2 linked regions of the Cricetulus griseus genome follow. The protein of the gene in region 1 purifies or fractionates together with the protein of each later gene. This does not show direct contact. Links are inferred from orthologs where the notes say so. Each region holds a gene or a part of one and is shown on either strand. Other genes may lie near its edges.

What was found. Proteins that work in one complex are often made in the same cells at the same time.
Region 2: the proteins of Gdi1 (region 1) and Rab1a purify together in Homo sapiens (affinity purification with mass spectrometry; 7 studies listed by BioGRID and IntAct, counting the BioPlex papers as one, with this or other methods). This does not show direct contact. The link is inferred for Cricetulus griseus from reciprocal best matches to the Homo sapiens genes GDI1 and RAB1A.

The regions. Positions count from the first base shown.
Region 1 is NC_048604.1:1,415,190-1,422,805, reverse strand, and holds the start of Gdi1 (rab GDP dissociation inhibitor alpha), read left to right. Parts: upstream 1-3,651; 5' UTR 3,652-3,912; coding exon 3,913-3,957; intron 3,958-4,116; exon of another isoform or gene 4,117-4,348; intron 4,349-4,988; coding exon 4,989-5,096; intron 5,097-5,249; coding exon 5,250-5,349; intron 5,350-5,507; coding exon 5,508-5,642; intron 5,643-6,070; coding exon 6,071-6,269; intron 6,270-6,525; coding exon 6,526-6,657; intron 6,658-7,616. Other genes in the region: Atp6ap1 (V-type proton ATPase subunit S1), read left to right, coding at 527-612, 955-1,193, 1,850-1,897, 1,987-2,215, 2,426-2,635. UniProt on the Homo sapiens protein: Regulates the GDP/GTP exchange reaction of most Rab proteins by inhibiting the dissociation of GDP from them, and the subsequent binding of GTP to them. Promotes the dissociation of GDP-bound Rab proteins from the membrane and inhibits their activation.
Region 2 is NW_023276807.1:86,285,648-86,293,309, reverse strand, and holds the start of Rab1a (ras-related protein Rab-1A), read left to right. Parts: upstream 1-2,804; 5' UTR 2,805-3,013; coding exon 3,014-3,036; intron 3,037-7,662. UniProt on the Homo sapiens protein: The small GTPases Rab are key regulators of intracellular membrane trafficking, from the formation of transport vesicles to their fusion with membranes.

The DNA.
Region 1 (7,616 bases):
CTGTTTCTCAGAGTAGCTGACAGCTGAGCAGGGACATAGTGGCTGCCTGCCTGGCCATGTTCTTCTGTAGCTAGCTTCACCTGATAGAGGTGCCTTATGACCCTTGTGCAAGAGCCCTGTAATCTAGCTTCTGCACAGGTCTAACAAATCTATGGATTTAATAGACCAGTAACATTATGCAAAGCAATTAGGAGGACTTGTCTTTGTAGTAGGACTTGTCTTTGTAGTAAAGGACAGTCTATCTGCATGGAAAAGAATTTGGGTAGATCTAGAGTTCTCTGTATCACTATATGTTTCACTTAGGTTGGGCTTGGCATTGGAGAGTCCATGATTGAGGCCACAATTGTCCCCAGAGAGACTGGTAGAGGGGGTAGAAGGAGAAATAGCTGGTTTTAGGGGTCTTCAGTGGAAACAAATAGCACCGAATTTCTCAAGGTCTAGAAGGTCTCTAAAGCAGACAGTGGGGAGTATTTATTTAAGCAGACTACCTGGTGACTTGGCTCTCTGCTCTCCTGTCACGCTTCAGATGAGGTCATTGGACAGGTACTGAGCACACTGAAGTCTGAAGATGTCCCTTACACCGCAGCTCTTACTGCAGTCCGCCCTTCTAGAGTACGTACTCTTCTAGCAGGGGCCCTGGGGCATGGGGTTATGAGGTCATTGGTGAGTGTGCCTGGAGATGAAAGGGTATGTCATAGGCAGGGCCTCCCAGGAGTCCTTATCTTGGGAGATTAGTGGGCAAAGGATTGCTTTCTCAATTCATGGGGACTTTTTTTCCCATCTTGGGCAGTGTTCATGTGTACTTGCTGCAAGTGTTCATAAGTTTAGGGAGATGGAACATCAGGGCTAGGGACTTTCAGCTCACAGGGCACCCAGTGGGAAGGGAGACTGTTACAATGGATTAGGCTTTGTTTTTAGGGCTGTTGAGAGAAGGCTTGTTGGATATTTCTGCAGGTGGTCCGTGATGTACCCATGGTGGCTGAGGGTCTAGGTCGACAGCTGCTTCAGACTCAGGTGGCATCACATGTGATCCATCCTCCTGTGAGTTACAATGACACTGCCCCAAGGATCCTGTTCTGGGCACAAAACTTCTCTGTGGCATACAAAGACGAGTGGAAAGACTTGACTTCCCTCACCTTTGGTGTGGAGAAACTTAACTTGACTGGCTCCTTCTGGAACGACTCCTTTGCCATGTAAGGACACTAGGCAGGGAAGGAAGGACTGTGTTATCACATATGGCCTTCTTGCCACTGTGAGCCCAGTACAGGGCAAGAATGTAGATCAGGTGTGTCTATGTTGGGGGTGAAGAAGGTCTGTTCACCAAGGACTTGAAGATAGTATCACGGGGTAATGTTACTGGGAGGTTACTGGAGAGGAAGCCTCACAAGTTTTACCTTTCCATGCTTTTTAGGCCTTGGTTGTTGGGTTCTGGGTTATTACCCTCACACAGTCCCTTGGAACCCTAGCGCTTCTTTGAACTCAACCCCTGGGACTACATGTGAGCAAATAGCAGACCAGCCGCCAAAACCAGTTCTAGGCTTCCTATACCTGAAACCTCAGCAGGCAGCTGAATAACCTTAAGAAGGGGATGAAAGAGGCTCAGGGGACTCAGGAGAACCAGAGGAAGGAATCCTAAGCTGGAGATCTGGGACCTAGGTGCAGATCCCCCAACTGTTCCTGATTTGCTTATGACTGGAGCCTTAGTTTTCCCATCAGATAAATGGGGACACTGTATTGGCAGGTGACTGTAAGGATGGATTTAGGACAGCTTAGATTGGACCCAGCCTGAGGAGAACCATACTCTAGGTCCTTCTAGAGCCTGACAGCACCCCTCTGCCTTGTCCCACAGGCTTTCACTGACCTATGAACCACTCTTTGGTGCAATGGTGACATTCAAGTAAGTTCTGGTGGTTGAAGTGTGGCTTGGCTGGTATGTCTCCATTGTCTTCTGTTCATCTGACAATCTCTGCTACCCTCACCTCCCAGGTTCATTCTGGCTAGTCGCTTCTACCCAGTGTCTGCCCGATACTGGTTTACTATGGAACGACTTGAAATCCACAGCAATGGCTCTGTTTCCCATTTCAATGTTTCCCAAGTCACGGGACCCAGCATCTATTCTTTCCACTGTGAGTATGTCAGCAGTCTGAGCAAGAAAGGCAATCTCCTTGTGACCAACGTGCCCTCACTCTGGCAGATGACTCTTCAGGACTTCCAGGTATTAAAGGGGGAATGGGCTCCAAGCTGGTGGCAGTAGGGGGAGGGAAGAAGAGCCCAGAGAATTTCAGTATGGCTTGAGCATGTAGCTGAGAGTTCCATCCTTATGCTGTCTCTGAAGGTCTAGACTGTTCACTGATTCCAGAACCCCAGCCCTTGTTGTCTGTAGAAACTTGTGGTCCCTTCTGATCCATGTCTATGTGTCTCCTAGATCCAGGCCTTCAATGTGACGGGTGAGCAGTTCTCCTATGCTAGCGACTGTGCTGGCTTCTTCTCTCCAGGCATCTGGATGGGGCTGCTCACCACCCTCTTCATGCTTTTCATCTTCACCTATGGCCTGCACATGATACTCAGCCTCAAGACCATGGATCGTTTTGACGACCACAAGGGCCCCACCATCACTTTGACACAGATTGTGTGACCTGTGCCAGAGAGAGATTGAGGGAGTGTTGGTGTCTAGGTTGTCATGTTTGCATCTTGTGGCATAGTGGATAGAAAGTTTTTTTTCTCTTCGATAGCATGAACCCTGCAGTACCCTCAGCCTGTCTTGCTTCCTCTTCAACCTACTGAGGGACTGGCTTCCCTGGGGCTATCCCCCATCTCTACCAACAAAGTGTATATATTCTTCATAGATATTAGACAAATCTTCCAGGCTCCATCATCATGAGGGGAAGGAACATTAATTCTAGGGTTCCCTTTCTCCCTTTCCCCCTTATTTATTCTTGCCCCTCCGCTACTTGCTGTTTATAGTGCTTCTGTGTAATTAATGCTCACTCCCCAAGCTTTATGAATCTTCCAGCAACAGCAATAAACTTGAGGTTCCTTGAGTTTGAGATGTATGGAAAGACTACTTAACTGTCTGTCCAGCTTGGCTGTTGTGTTTTTTGGGTGACATGTTAAGAATGATCTGTACACTGGGGTTTATTTCTGTAGCCTGAGAAAGAAGAGACCTCCACAAGGCTTATTCCCACTAGGATTGTCTGCCAAGAGATGGGGATGGGGGTACTCTTTTTGTTTCCCTTCCTAATAAAATAAAGACGTGTTGTCATATGTGTTGGGCTTCGGCTTTGAGTCACTCATTTCTGCACTTGACAGTAGATTTGTTTTTGACTGAGGGGAAGAAGTGCCCAGGTGTAGTCCTAACAGGTGAGAGGGGAAGGGTGGGAGAGTCTTCATCAAGCTGATTGATACTCTTAACGAGTTAAGGTAGAGGCCCATTATTTCTCCTGGCCTTGGGGAGAGTCCTTACAATGAAAGATACAGGCAACTGCAAATACCACAGGGCCTTGCTGTTTCTCCCAGAGGGGCGGTATGGGATCGCGCCAGGAGGGATGGGACGGGGCGGGGCGCTCTCGGCTCCCGCGCATGGATCTTCGCGGGACGCAGCACCTGCCACGGACCCGCCCCGCCCCGCATTTCTCTGGGCTCGCGAAGATCTGCGTTGCCCCCGAAATTGTACTGGTGCGGAGACTCAGGCGCTGGAAGCCCTTCCAGAAAATAAGCGGGAGAAACGGTGGCATCGCTAGGGTGTGGCAGGGCCCGAGGAGGGAGAGGGACTCTTTGACGCGGCGGAAGGATCTGGAGACGACTGATAGCCGCCATCTTTGGTTCAGTGCGGTGGCAGCGGCGGCGGCGGCAGTGGCTGCTGTGGTGAAGGAGGAGGAGGAGCCGAGCGGGCGTTGGTACCAAGGCCTGACCATGGACGAGGAATACGATGTGATAGTACTGGGGACAGGTCTTACCGTAAGTGTCACCCTAGGCACTCATAGCCCTGTAGCATGCCTTTCCCATCCCCCGCGGTGATGCAGAGCCCTGGTCACCGGTCTCATTCTCCCATCATTGCTTTCCTGGCTCTGGTCCTGGCAAAGCCAACCCCGCTCCCACCCCACTGCCTCACCCTAGGATGTCGACTCGACGGCGCTGCCATCTTCTTGCTTCCCCGTAGAGGACCCTGTTTCAGCCTGTATCCCTGCACCCTAGGACCCCTTCATCGTCCCTATCTGTGTCACCGAGGTGGAAAACTACCCCCCCCCCGGACCGGTTGTGCCCAGCCCCCACCCTTCACCTGCTTAGCATCCTTGATTAGCATCTCTTACCATTTTGTGGTGATCACACTAGGGCATTGAGTATAAAGGTATGGGTATGGGGGCATTCCAAGGGTGGGTTCTCATCCTGCCTTTTTGCCTTTTGAGAGGGGACGGTAATTCAGGGAATGTTCCAGAAGCAGCAGTAGTGGGGGTAGTTACGACATTCCCTCTACCCCAGTCTGGTTTCCCATGGAGATCTCAGGCTGAATATATCCTCTGCCTTTGTCCTTGGGCTAGTGACAGTGATTGGTTGTTGGTTTGCACCCTGAGTCTGGACCGGTAGATAGGGCTGGAGGGTCAGGGGCTCCTGCCTTTGTAGGAGGAGCAGCCCAGGGTGGGGTCTGGGATTTCATTTGAATTGGTTCTTCTCCAGACTCGTTACCTTTTTGTGGGCTCAGAGCAGGCAGATACTTACTTGGCTTGTGGGTACTAGAAGACTGTCCTTGGGTCTGCTGGAAGCTCTGCCTCCCTAAGCCTCATTTAATGCTCTGGCATTTCACCGTCTTGCCTAACAGGGTTATAAAGGAAACATCGAATGAAGCCATTTCCCCTCTCTCCAGTTTTAGGTGCTACAAGAGGCAGGGATTTATGTTACAAAATTTATGTCGGGTTTGAGTCAGGGACAAACCAGGGATGCAGGTCAGAAGGCAGATGGGAGTGTAGCTGCAAATGCCACCCCTCCCCCAGGAATGCATCTTGTCTGGCATCATGTCTGTGAATGGAAAGAAGGTGCTGCACATGGACCGGAACCCTTACTATGGGGGTGAGAGCTCTTCCATCACACCCCTGGAAGAGGTAAGGCTTCTTGGACTTGAGCTAAGACCCAGACCCCTTTTTAGTCTCTCACATAGGGGCATGGGGGCAAAGTAGTTCCCAGGTGCTGGGCTGGAGAATGGGAGAGGGATAGGTGGTCCTTGACATTTTTCTTTCTTTCTGTCCTGTTTACAGCTATATAAACGTTTTCAGTTGCTGGAAGGGCCCCCTGAGTCAATGGGCCGGGGCCGAGACTGGAATGTTGACTTGATCCCCAAATTTCTCATGGCCAATGGTGAGGGAGATTAAGAAGATAATGTATATGGTGATTGGTGGGTGGTGGTGATTGGGAAGACCAGAGGGGAGGTTCAAGCTCCAGAATAAGGTCAGTCAGACAACTGAGAGATTTTTGAAGGGAGCTACACTGACATCCCTAATCCTCTCTGGACACAGGTCAGCTGGTAAAGATGCTGCTGTATACAGAAGTGACTCGTTATCTGGACTTCAAGGTGGTTGAGGGCAGCTTTGTATACAAGGGAGGCAAGATCTACAAAGTACCATCCACTGAGACTGAGGCCTTGGCTTCTAGTAAGTATGAGTCTCCTTAGCCAGAGAATAATGGGACAGGAGGAAGCAGACTATTCTCAAGATAGTTAGGCAAAAGGCTCCCATTTGCCTAAGCCTAATCTTAGCTCTATGTAATACCAGAGGCCCCTTGCTTTATAGTACCTTTATTGGAATGTGCTACCCATCCTGGCAAGTTACCAGAAAGGAAGCTCATTGAGGAGGATTTCTTTTTGGCAGAGGGCCTACTTGACCCCCATTGCATCCCCAAGTGGAGCTAGGAGTGCCTCTTCCTACAAATAGGAAAACTAAGGCCAAGAAGGGTGGGGCAGGGTTACATGACTGAGCTCTGGTGGGAGCCAGGACACCAACTTTCCTGGCCTGCTCTGGTGGAAAGAAGAGTTTTATGTCCCAGTAATACAAAAAGAGTCTTTTCAATACCCTTCCTTCAGATCTGATGGGCATGTTTGAAAAACGACGCTTCCGGAAATTCTTGGTGTTTGTGGCAAACTTTGATGAGAATGACCCCAAAACCTTTGAGGGTGTCGACCCCCAGACCACCAGCATGCGTGATGTCTACAGGAAGTTTGATCTGGGCCAAGATGTCATTGATTTCACTGGCCATGCCTTGGCGCTCTACCGCACTGATGAGTGAGGGGAAAGCTGGCTGGTGGCAGGAGCCCCTTTGTCTGCCTCACACTTTATCCTCCCCACACCTGCCTATTGTATCCACTGCCCACCCTGCATATCTCTTGTACTTGTCTATAAGTTCACCTGTTGCATTTCCATCCCTCTCTTCCATTTGACTCATATCTTTGCCAGGTCACAAAGGGTGGTGGGAAGGCGGATGGTGTCTTTGAAGGTGAGCAGGAGTGCTGCTGTCAAAGCATCTTCTCTTGTTCCCCAGCTACCTGGATCAGCCCTGTCTTGAGACTATTAACCGTATCAAGTTGTACAGTGAGTCCTTGGCCCGGTATGGCAAGAGCCCATATTTGTACCCACTCTATGGCCTGGGCGAGCTGCCCCAGGGCTTTGCAAGGTGAGGACCTTTTTTTCCCAAGCTGGCATTAGTGGGTATGACTAAGACCAATAAGCCTGGTGGTGGTGGCACAAGCCTTTAATCCCAGCATTTGGGAAGCAGATGCAGGCAGAGCTCTGTGAGTTCCAGGCCAAGCTGGTCTAGAGAGTGAGTTCTAGGACAGCCAAAGCTACATAGAGAAACACTCTTGAAAAACCAAAAATAAAATGAAATAAATAAAAGAATGGAAATTACCTCCTTGGGCTTTTTTTTTTTTTTCTTGAGACAGGGTTTCTCTGTATTTTTTTAGAGCCTGTCCTGGAACTTGCTCTATAGATCAGGCTGGCCTTGAACTCAGAGATCTACCTGCCTCTGCCTCCTGAGTGCTGGGATTAAAGGTGTGGGCCACCCCCCCCCGCCCCTCACCTCCCCACCCCCCCATTCCCCCCACCCCCGCTCTCCTTGAGCATTTTTGTGGCATCTTCTACTTTCCCATCTAAATCTTCATGTACATTGTTCCATCCCTGGTTAATGGGGGCACAGCCTTAGTACAGAGTAAAGGTGGAGAGTTGGCTCAGCAGATAAAAGCACTTGTTTTTACAGAGGACCCAGGTTTAATTCCAACAGCCACATGGTGGCCTACAACTGTCCATAACTCCAGTTTTAGGGAATCCTAACACCTTCATCTGACCTCCATAGGTTCCAAGCATGCATGTGGTCTACAGACATATGCCAAGAAAACACATACACGTAAAATAGTCAATGTAAATAATATACTTAAAAAGTAAAGGAAATACAAAGTAAAGGACCAGATGACCATGAAAATAGCTTTCCCAGTTCCTGGTAGTACCTGAACTAAGTCTAGGACCCCAGAACCTTGAATCTAAGATTCCCTGGAATCTGGCTCTTTGCCAGAGAGTCCTTTATTCGATTCCTGAGCCATTTCTATGTGAAGCTACACTCATTGGACTTTGCAGAAT
Region 2 (7,662 bases), on another chromosome or scaffold:
AAAGTGCTGGGATTCCTACCCTGTGGGAAGGAATCTTAATATAAGTGACACCTGTGTTGCAGTAGGATCTAGGAAGCTGGCACTCACCACTCTATAGCCATGACTGTTTCTAATCCATTTACATGTTATAACAGTAACTAAGACATGAAGTTTCCTGTCCTCTTTATACAGCAGGTACAGTTAAGCTTTAGGGGTGTCAAGGAGGAATTGTGCTATATACTTCACACTGTTTTGTTTGCCACTTAGGTTATGTTACTAGATAATTTGTTAGGAAACGAAATAGTTAATGAAAGAAAGTTGAGGAAATTAACTTCCAAGGAGACAGACAGATAAAAAAATGGAGTTTTGGTGGTAGTATCTCTTAGAGAAGCCAACATTCATGCTCTGTAGTGTGCTTTTCTTTCTGAGAGTCTGCAGTCTCCCTTAACATTTATGCTTGAGTTTATATTAAAATATCATCAATAAAAACCCAGCTTGGGCTGGATAGATGGTTCATCCACGAAGGGCACTTTTTGTTCTTGCTGGGGACTCATGTTGAGTTCCCAGCACCCACATGATGACTCACAACAATCTGTAACTCCAGTTTCAGGGATCGAATACTCTCTTCTGATCTCTGAGGGCACCAGGCACACACACCACAACATGCACATACATACACATACAGGAAAGCATTCATATACATAAAATTAAAATTAAATGACAGATTATTTAGGGGGGGTGGTTGAGACCACTCTCACTATGTAGTCCTGGCTCTCCTGGAATTTACTATGTAGACCAGGATGGCTTCAAACTCAATTGTCTCTGCCTTCAAGTGCTGGGATTAAAGATATGCTCTGCCACACTGGGTTTAAATGGCAAATCCACCCCTCCCCCCCCAAAAAAAAACCAACAAAAAAAAAGCAAAACAAAAACCAAAATAAAATTTTGCTTGAAAAATTGAGTTTGGGGCTACTTCTGAGGTTTTATTTTGTAAAATGACAATGAGCAGGAAATATTATAGGCTTCAGGGTCCAGGGCTACACACTTGTGGTGCTTCATTTTTCATCTAGGGTAATTTTTGGGTGGTGACCAAGTCCATTTGAGAAGTTAACATGTAAAAGAACCCTTATGGGACATCGTGATGGCGCTGGGGATGTCACAGGCCTTTGATTCTATCACAGAGGAGGGAGGATTACTGAATTTGAGGTCTACAGAGTGAGCTCCAGGACAGCCTGGGCTACACAGAGAAACCCGTCTCAAAAAAAACCCAAAACCAACAATAAAAACAAAAAAACCCCTAATCCCAAAACCTATATATAATCTGATGAGGCTGTCAATCAAGGCACATGAAGGGTGGTGGTGGTGGTGGGGCATGTAAAGAGGTACTGAGTATCTGGTTAGAAATGACAACAGCCTCTTTTGCTTATTTTGATGTCACAGAAATTTAAAGTAATTCTGCAGTCGGTCTCAGGAGATAATATTCTTGCTTAGAACAAGTTGGAAGATAAACTTTGGACAGTGTATTATACTATGCCCTTTGTAATAAATAACCGAAGATAATGTGTTAAAGTTTAGTCAACATTTAAATTCCTGAGCTGATTAAAGTTAAGAGCATAAGGTCTAAAAATGTATTAATATTAGTTCTGGAGTCTGTAGTGAAGAATTGCATGGCTTGAAAAAAAAAATCACTTGTTGTCGGGCTTTGGTAGCGCACGCCTTTAATCCCAGCACTAGGAAAGCAGAGACAGGAGGATCTCTGTGAGTTCGAGGCCAGCGTGGTCTCCAGAGCGAGTCCCAGGATAAGCTCCAAAGCTACGCAGAGAAACCCTGTCTCGAAAAACCAAAAAAACAAAAAGAAAGAAAAAAATTACTTGTTACTGCCCAATTTTGCAGAACGATACAGAATTAAGTACTAACTAATAAAACAAACAAAAACAACAGCAGACCTGAAAAAACAAAAACAAAACCCCCAACAATTCAACTTTATAAGTCTAGGCCTCAAGTAGGCAGACTGGTTTAGGCTGACTCTAGCCTGTGTCTCAACCACACAATGCGGAGCCTTTGAAGGTTGGGAGGTCATGATGGAGTCGCAGTTTCAGAAAGATAAATCTGGCTGTATGTGCAAGTGGACTGGGGTGGGGGGCGGCAGAAAAGAGACAAAAGCAGGGTCCATTTGCAGCTACTGCAATGTCAGGTTGCTAAAGTAAAATGGTTTTTAAAAAATGAGAAAAGAACGGATCGGGTGAATAAGAAGCGCAAGATCCACAGAGGCGGCTTGACTTTCCTTCTGTTCTTAGAGCTGTCCGGAGGCTCGTGTGGATGGCCCCCAGGGTCGCGCCAGAGCAGGGAGGTGGTCCTCATACCTCCCTTCCAGCCCCAATGGCCCCTCCTCACTCTGTCCTGGAGTCCCCAGGAGCCCCCACCCCCTCGGATGCGGCACCGCCCTCCGCCGGGTTCCTTCCCCTCCCCTTCCCGTGGGGCGCCGACTCGCCCAGCTGCCACGTCTCACTGATGACATCAACACAGCCCGCTCGGCCTTAGCCAATCCGCTAGGGGGAGTCCGAGCGAAGTCCTAGCCAGCAAGCCAGAGGGGAGGGGAGCAGGAAGGGCGGGGTGTGGGGTGAGGGAATCGGGACGGGGCGGACGACAAGCTCGCAGGTGCGCACGCGTGCGGGGCGCGGGGCCTGGTGGGAAGCTGAGTGCAAGCTGTCCTCGGCCCCGTCAGGCTGGCCAGCGTGCGGTGCGCTCACGACTCTATTTCCCGGCGTGCCGCGCGACGCGGCCGCCCTCTGGGCCGCGACAGGCCCCTTGGCCTAGGCTTCCCTAGTTCCTGGTTCGCCGGCGGCCATTTTGGGTGGAAGCGATCACTGAGTGGCGGCGGCTGCTGATTGTGTTCTAAGGGTCGGAGTGGGGTCGACGTTTGCTCTACCGGAACAGCTTAGCTCATTCCTTCCCTTCCATTACCCGTGGCGCGGAGAGTCGGGGCGGCGGCTGCGTCAGCAAGGGCGGTGGCGGCGGCGGCAGCTGCAGTGACATGTCCAGCATGAATCCCGAATAGTGAGTGCAGGAGAGCCGGGGCGGGCTGGGGGTGAGGGCGTCCGGCCGGGGGGTGAAGGCCACCGGGAGGCTCGCTGCGCGGCAGCGGGAAGGTCGGCCGGGCGAGCGAGGCGGAGCGGCCCCAGGGCCCCATTGTCTGACGGCCGAGGGCCGCGGCGGGGAGGGGTCGGGCCTCCGGGGCAGGGGCCGGGGAGCCGGCGGGGAGCTGTGTGCCGCGGCCGGGCGTTGGGGAATCGGCCTCGGACAGCGGCCAGGAGGGGCGCGTCTCTGGGAGGCAGTGACGGCTGGAGGAGGACTTGTTTTTAAGGGAGGTAGGTGGGAGAGCTCTGCTAGAGGGCACTGTCAGACCCTGCGCCGGCTCTGCGGAGCTGTCAGCCTCGGCAGCGAGGAAACCAGCTTTCCTTGTAAATCCTCAGCTTGTTACAGCTCTCTCCCCGGCGGGTTTCAGGTAATATGGATGTTTCTCGGGACTGCGTGGGTTGAGGAGATGGTGAGAAGGTATTTACAATGTTTAGTTTCCTTTTGGGCTTGTCTCCTGAGGAGTTCTTTAAAGAGTGTGAGCCATGGTCCTTCTACAATCCTGGGCATTTGTGAAATTTTTGTTTTAGAGGACACCTAAGTCTCCAAGTCACCTTTTGTTTTCAGTAGGTCAACAATAACAACAACTAAAATTAAAAATGTCTTCCTGGCACCGCCAACTTAAAGTACGAGTTTGCTCACAAATTGGAAAAGAGCTTTGATAGAGCTGTAGGTTTTAGATTACCTAGTTGAAAGCCTGTAGATAGGGAATGAGGTTCCATGACGTGTCATGAAAAGTTAATGCATTCCTTTTTCTTGCTTACTCAAGAAGTCACTATAGCAGATGTGACACACCTGGCACCTTTCATGGGAACTGGTGATCTCTTTTCTTGAGTAGACATTGTTGGGCTCTTTTGAACTGCACCTAAAATCCTCCTATACTTTTATATATGAAAGTTAACTTGAAGAGATGGCATTTTTGTTCTCTTTAGTGTCAGAAATCTTTAAGGGAGTGGATTTTTTTTTTTTTTTTTTGATAAGAGAAGCCAGCATAGCCTTAAAGCTGAATTTGTTGCTTGATCAATTACCGCTAAGTGTTTCCCCATGAAAGGTCTATCCATCAGTTTAGCTGACTTGTCATCATGTGTGTGTCACATGGCTCTTGCAAAATGCATTCTAAGTTCCAAGTTTTGTAAGACTGTGGTTTTATGCTGAGATGTTCTTTTTCATTTGTGCTAAGCAGAAGTCATAGTATCTTGGTAGAATTTTACATTAATTTTATTGTGTGTGTGTAATGCATGTGATTGCAGGTGCACAGGTGCCACAGTACTTGCGTGAAAAAGGTCAGGGAACAAATTTTAAGAGTTGGTTCCATCTTCCTTTGTGGTTTCTGAAGACTGAACTCAGACGAGCAGTCTAATCATAGAGCCATCTTACTGGTCCAGACTTTTGTACTTCTTTAAGAAGTTGGGAACAGTTCATACTTGCTGTGTTGGCAGCCCCTTCCCCAAGTCACCGACTCTGCAGGACAAAATTGGTTTAGTAGAGCAAAGTTGAATTGGGTTCCTAGTTAGTTTTCCTGGCATCCGTAAAGAACTTGGATTTAATCAGCCTGGTGTTGGACGGTGGCGTAGGCGGCGAGCACTCTGGAGGCAGAGGCAGGTGGATCTCTGTTAGTTTGAGACCAGCCTGGCCTACAGAGTGAGTTCCAGGACAGCCTCTAAAGCTACAGAGAAACCTTGTCTCGAAAAACCAAAAAACCAAAACCAAAACAACAACCCCCCCCATGGATTTACTAGACTAGGGAGGTTTGTAAACCTGTACTATTTGAGGAGTTTCCTATATTTGTTTTGTATGTATGTATGTATGTATGTATGTATGTATGTATTTGGTTTTTCGTTTTTCGAGACAGGGTTTCTCTGTGTAGCTTTGGAGCCGATCCTGGCACTGGCTCTGGAGACCAGGCTGGCCTCCAACTCACAGAGATCCGCCTGTCTCTGCCTCCCGAGTGCTGGGATTAAAGGCGTGCACCACCAACGCTCGGCAATTTTTTCTTTTTACAAAATTATAATTTCACATGTCAGTCCCTTCTCCCCCCCCAACTTCTCCCCCAGCCCCCTCCTCCCTCCACTCCCCATAGAGGGTAGGGCCCTCTACGGGCCTCCCCAAATTCCACAACATTCTCTGTGTAGCTTTGGAGCCTATCCTGGCACTCCTTCTGTAGACCAGGCTGGCCTCGAACTCACAGAGATCTGCCTGACTCTGCTTCCAGAGTGCTGGGATTAAGGTGTGCACCACCAACGTCCGGCTTTGTTACATATATTTAAATATTATTTATTTGTATGTGTGTGTTTGAGGTTAGAGCAGTGGTTCTTAACCTTCCTAATGCTATGACCCTTTAATACAATTCTTCATCTTGTGGTGGCCCCCAGCCATAAAATTATTTTTGTTGTCTCTTCATAACTGTACTACTGTTATAAATGGTAGGGTCTCGACCCCTAGATTGGGAACCACTGGGGTAGAGCCATTCCTTGGAGTTGGAGTTACAAAAAGTTGTGAGCCTCTGATGTGGTGCTGGGAATTGAACTCCAGTTTTCTGCTAGAAACAGTACATGTTCTTAACTAATCAGTCTCTTCAGCCTGTGTTACTTATATTTTTTTAATACTGTAAGAAGATCTTGAAGATGAACTAGATGACAAAAATTTGATGTTATTCAGACTTTTAATTTGTTTCTCCTTTTGTAAAGTAGTATAAAAAGGTCATTTTTACTACGTATTAAGGTAGTAGTGTGGCTAAGTATGTAAAAAATTTGGACAGCTAACCAAAGCACATTGCAGGTGTTGTAAATCATTTTTAAGTAAGCATTTTAGTTATGCTGGGACTTAGGGATGTAAGCCTTAACCTCAAGAGCCTGTGATATAATACACAAGACACACACACACACACACACACACACACACACACACACACACACACACACACACACAGCTGCATGGATCAGAGAAGTACGATTTCAGGGGAGTGTCATTTGTTGTTGTTGGCTCTTTTGGAATACTACTATAGAAGAGACATATAAGAAAATGACCAGTGCACCAGTGAGATAGATAGCTCAGCTGCTACCTTGATGATGAGTTCCATCCCTGGGACCTGCATATTCTCTGGTCTCTATGTGTCACCCTCTCCCAAGAATCTAAGTAAATATTATAAAAAAGAGAAAGAATTATTAGCACAGAAGAGAGCTAGGGAAGACTTCAAGAGGGAGAAGAGGAATGACTAGTAAATGGCAAGGAAAATAATTTTTTAAATCCTTTTTCTTAGTTTTAAGACAAGATTTCACTGTGATGTAATCCTGGCTATCCTGAAACACACTGTGTAGGTGAGGCTGGCCTTGTATTTGTCCCAGTCTTCCTGTTTCTGCCTCCCAAGTGCTGACGTTACAGATTCGAGTTACCATGGCCCTGCATGGACAATTATTTATTCATTCATTCTTTTGAGGTCTCAAGTATGCCAATATCTGGCCTATATTTGCATTCTAGATTGTATAATAAACTAGTTCAGGAGTTTGGGGAAAGGATTTACGAAATTTTAAGATGAGAGATATTTTGTTAGTGAATATCACAAGTGTAACCAATATACCAATAATGATTAAGTTATACTCTGTCTTTCATTGCTCTGTGTGTGTGTTTATGATCTACATAAAAATCAGTTATTAGGCTGATTTGGGAGAAACAAAAACCTGTTATCTTTAAGACAGAAATTAAGGGTAATGACATAAACCACTGAAAGTGTAATCCTGACATAGAAATCCTAGATGGAAAGGGTCAAAGCTTCCTTTATTCTGGAGATCTGAAGAAAGATTTGACTTTGTTGCATTTATTTTGTGTATGGAGAGGGGCACATGAATGCTACAGTGTACATATGGAGGTCAGAGCAACCTGCAGGAATCAGTTCTCTCCTACCTGAAGACCAAACTGTCTTTAGTTTTGGCTGTAAGTACTGAGTTATGGCCAAGATTTGATTCAGAGCTAGGTAGTGAAGCAGGCAGTGATTATTCCAATACACTGATTGAAAATACTAAACAGTAGTGATATGGAGGGGCCTGTACTCTGAGCACTTGAGGTAGAGGCAGGAGGGTCACTGAAGGTTCTAGACCGCCTTGGCCTACATTAGTGAATTCCAGGCTATCTAGGGCTACATAGGGACCGTGTGTGTGTGTGTGTGTGTGTGTGTGTGTGTGTGTGTGTGTGTGTGTGTGTGTGTGTGTGTGTGTGTGTGTGTATCCCCCCACACACAGACACACACAATTAACATTATCCCCATACAAGAAATAGTTGTCATAACCTATTAGCTTTTTTATTTTGAGACAGGGTCTCAAAGATCCCAAGCTGGCCTCAAGTTCACATTATAACCAAGGATGACCTTCAGCTTTCCGTGCTTCTGTCTCTGCCTGCTGAGTGCAAAGATGTGAGGTGCTGGGGATTGAACCCATAGCTTGCTACCAGCTGAGCTCTATCACTAGCCTTGAACTTCTTGAGTGCGTGAAGGTGTTACATGTGTGAGTATTGGGTCTACGTGCACATGTGTGTGCATGAGTTTGGTGGCCAAAG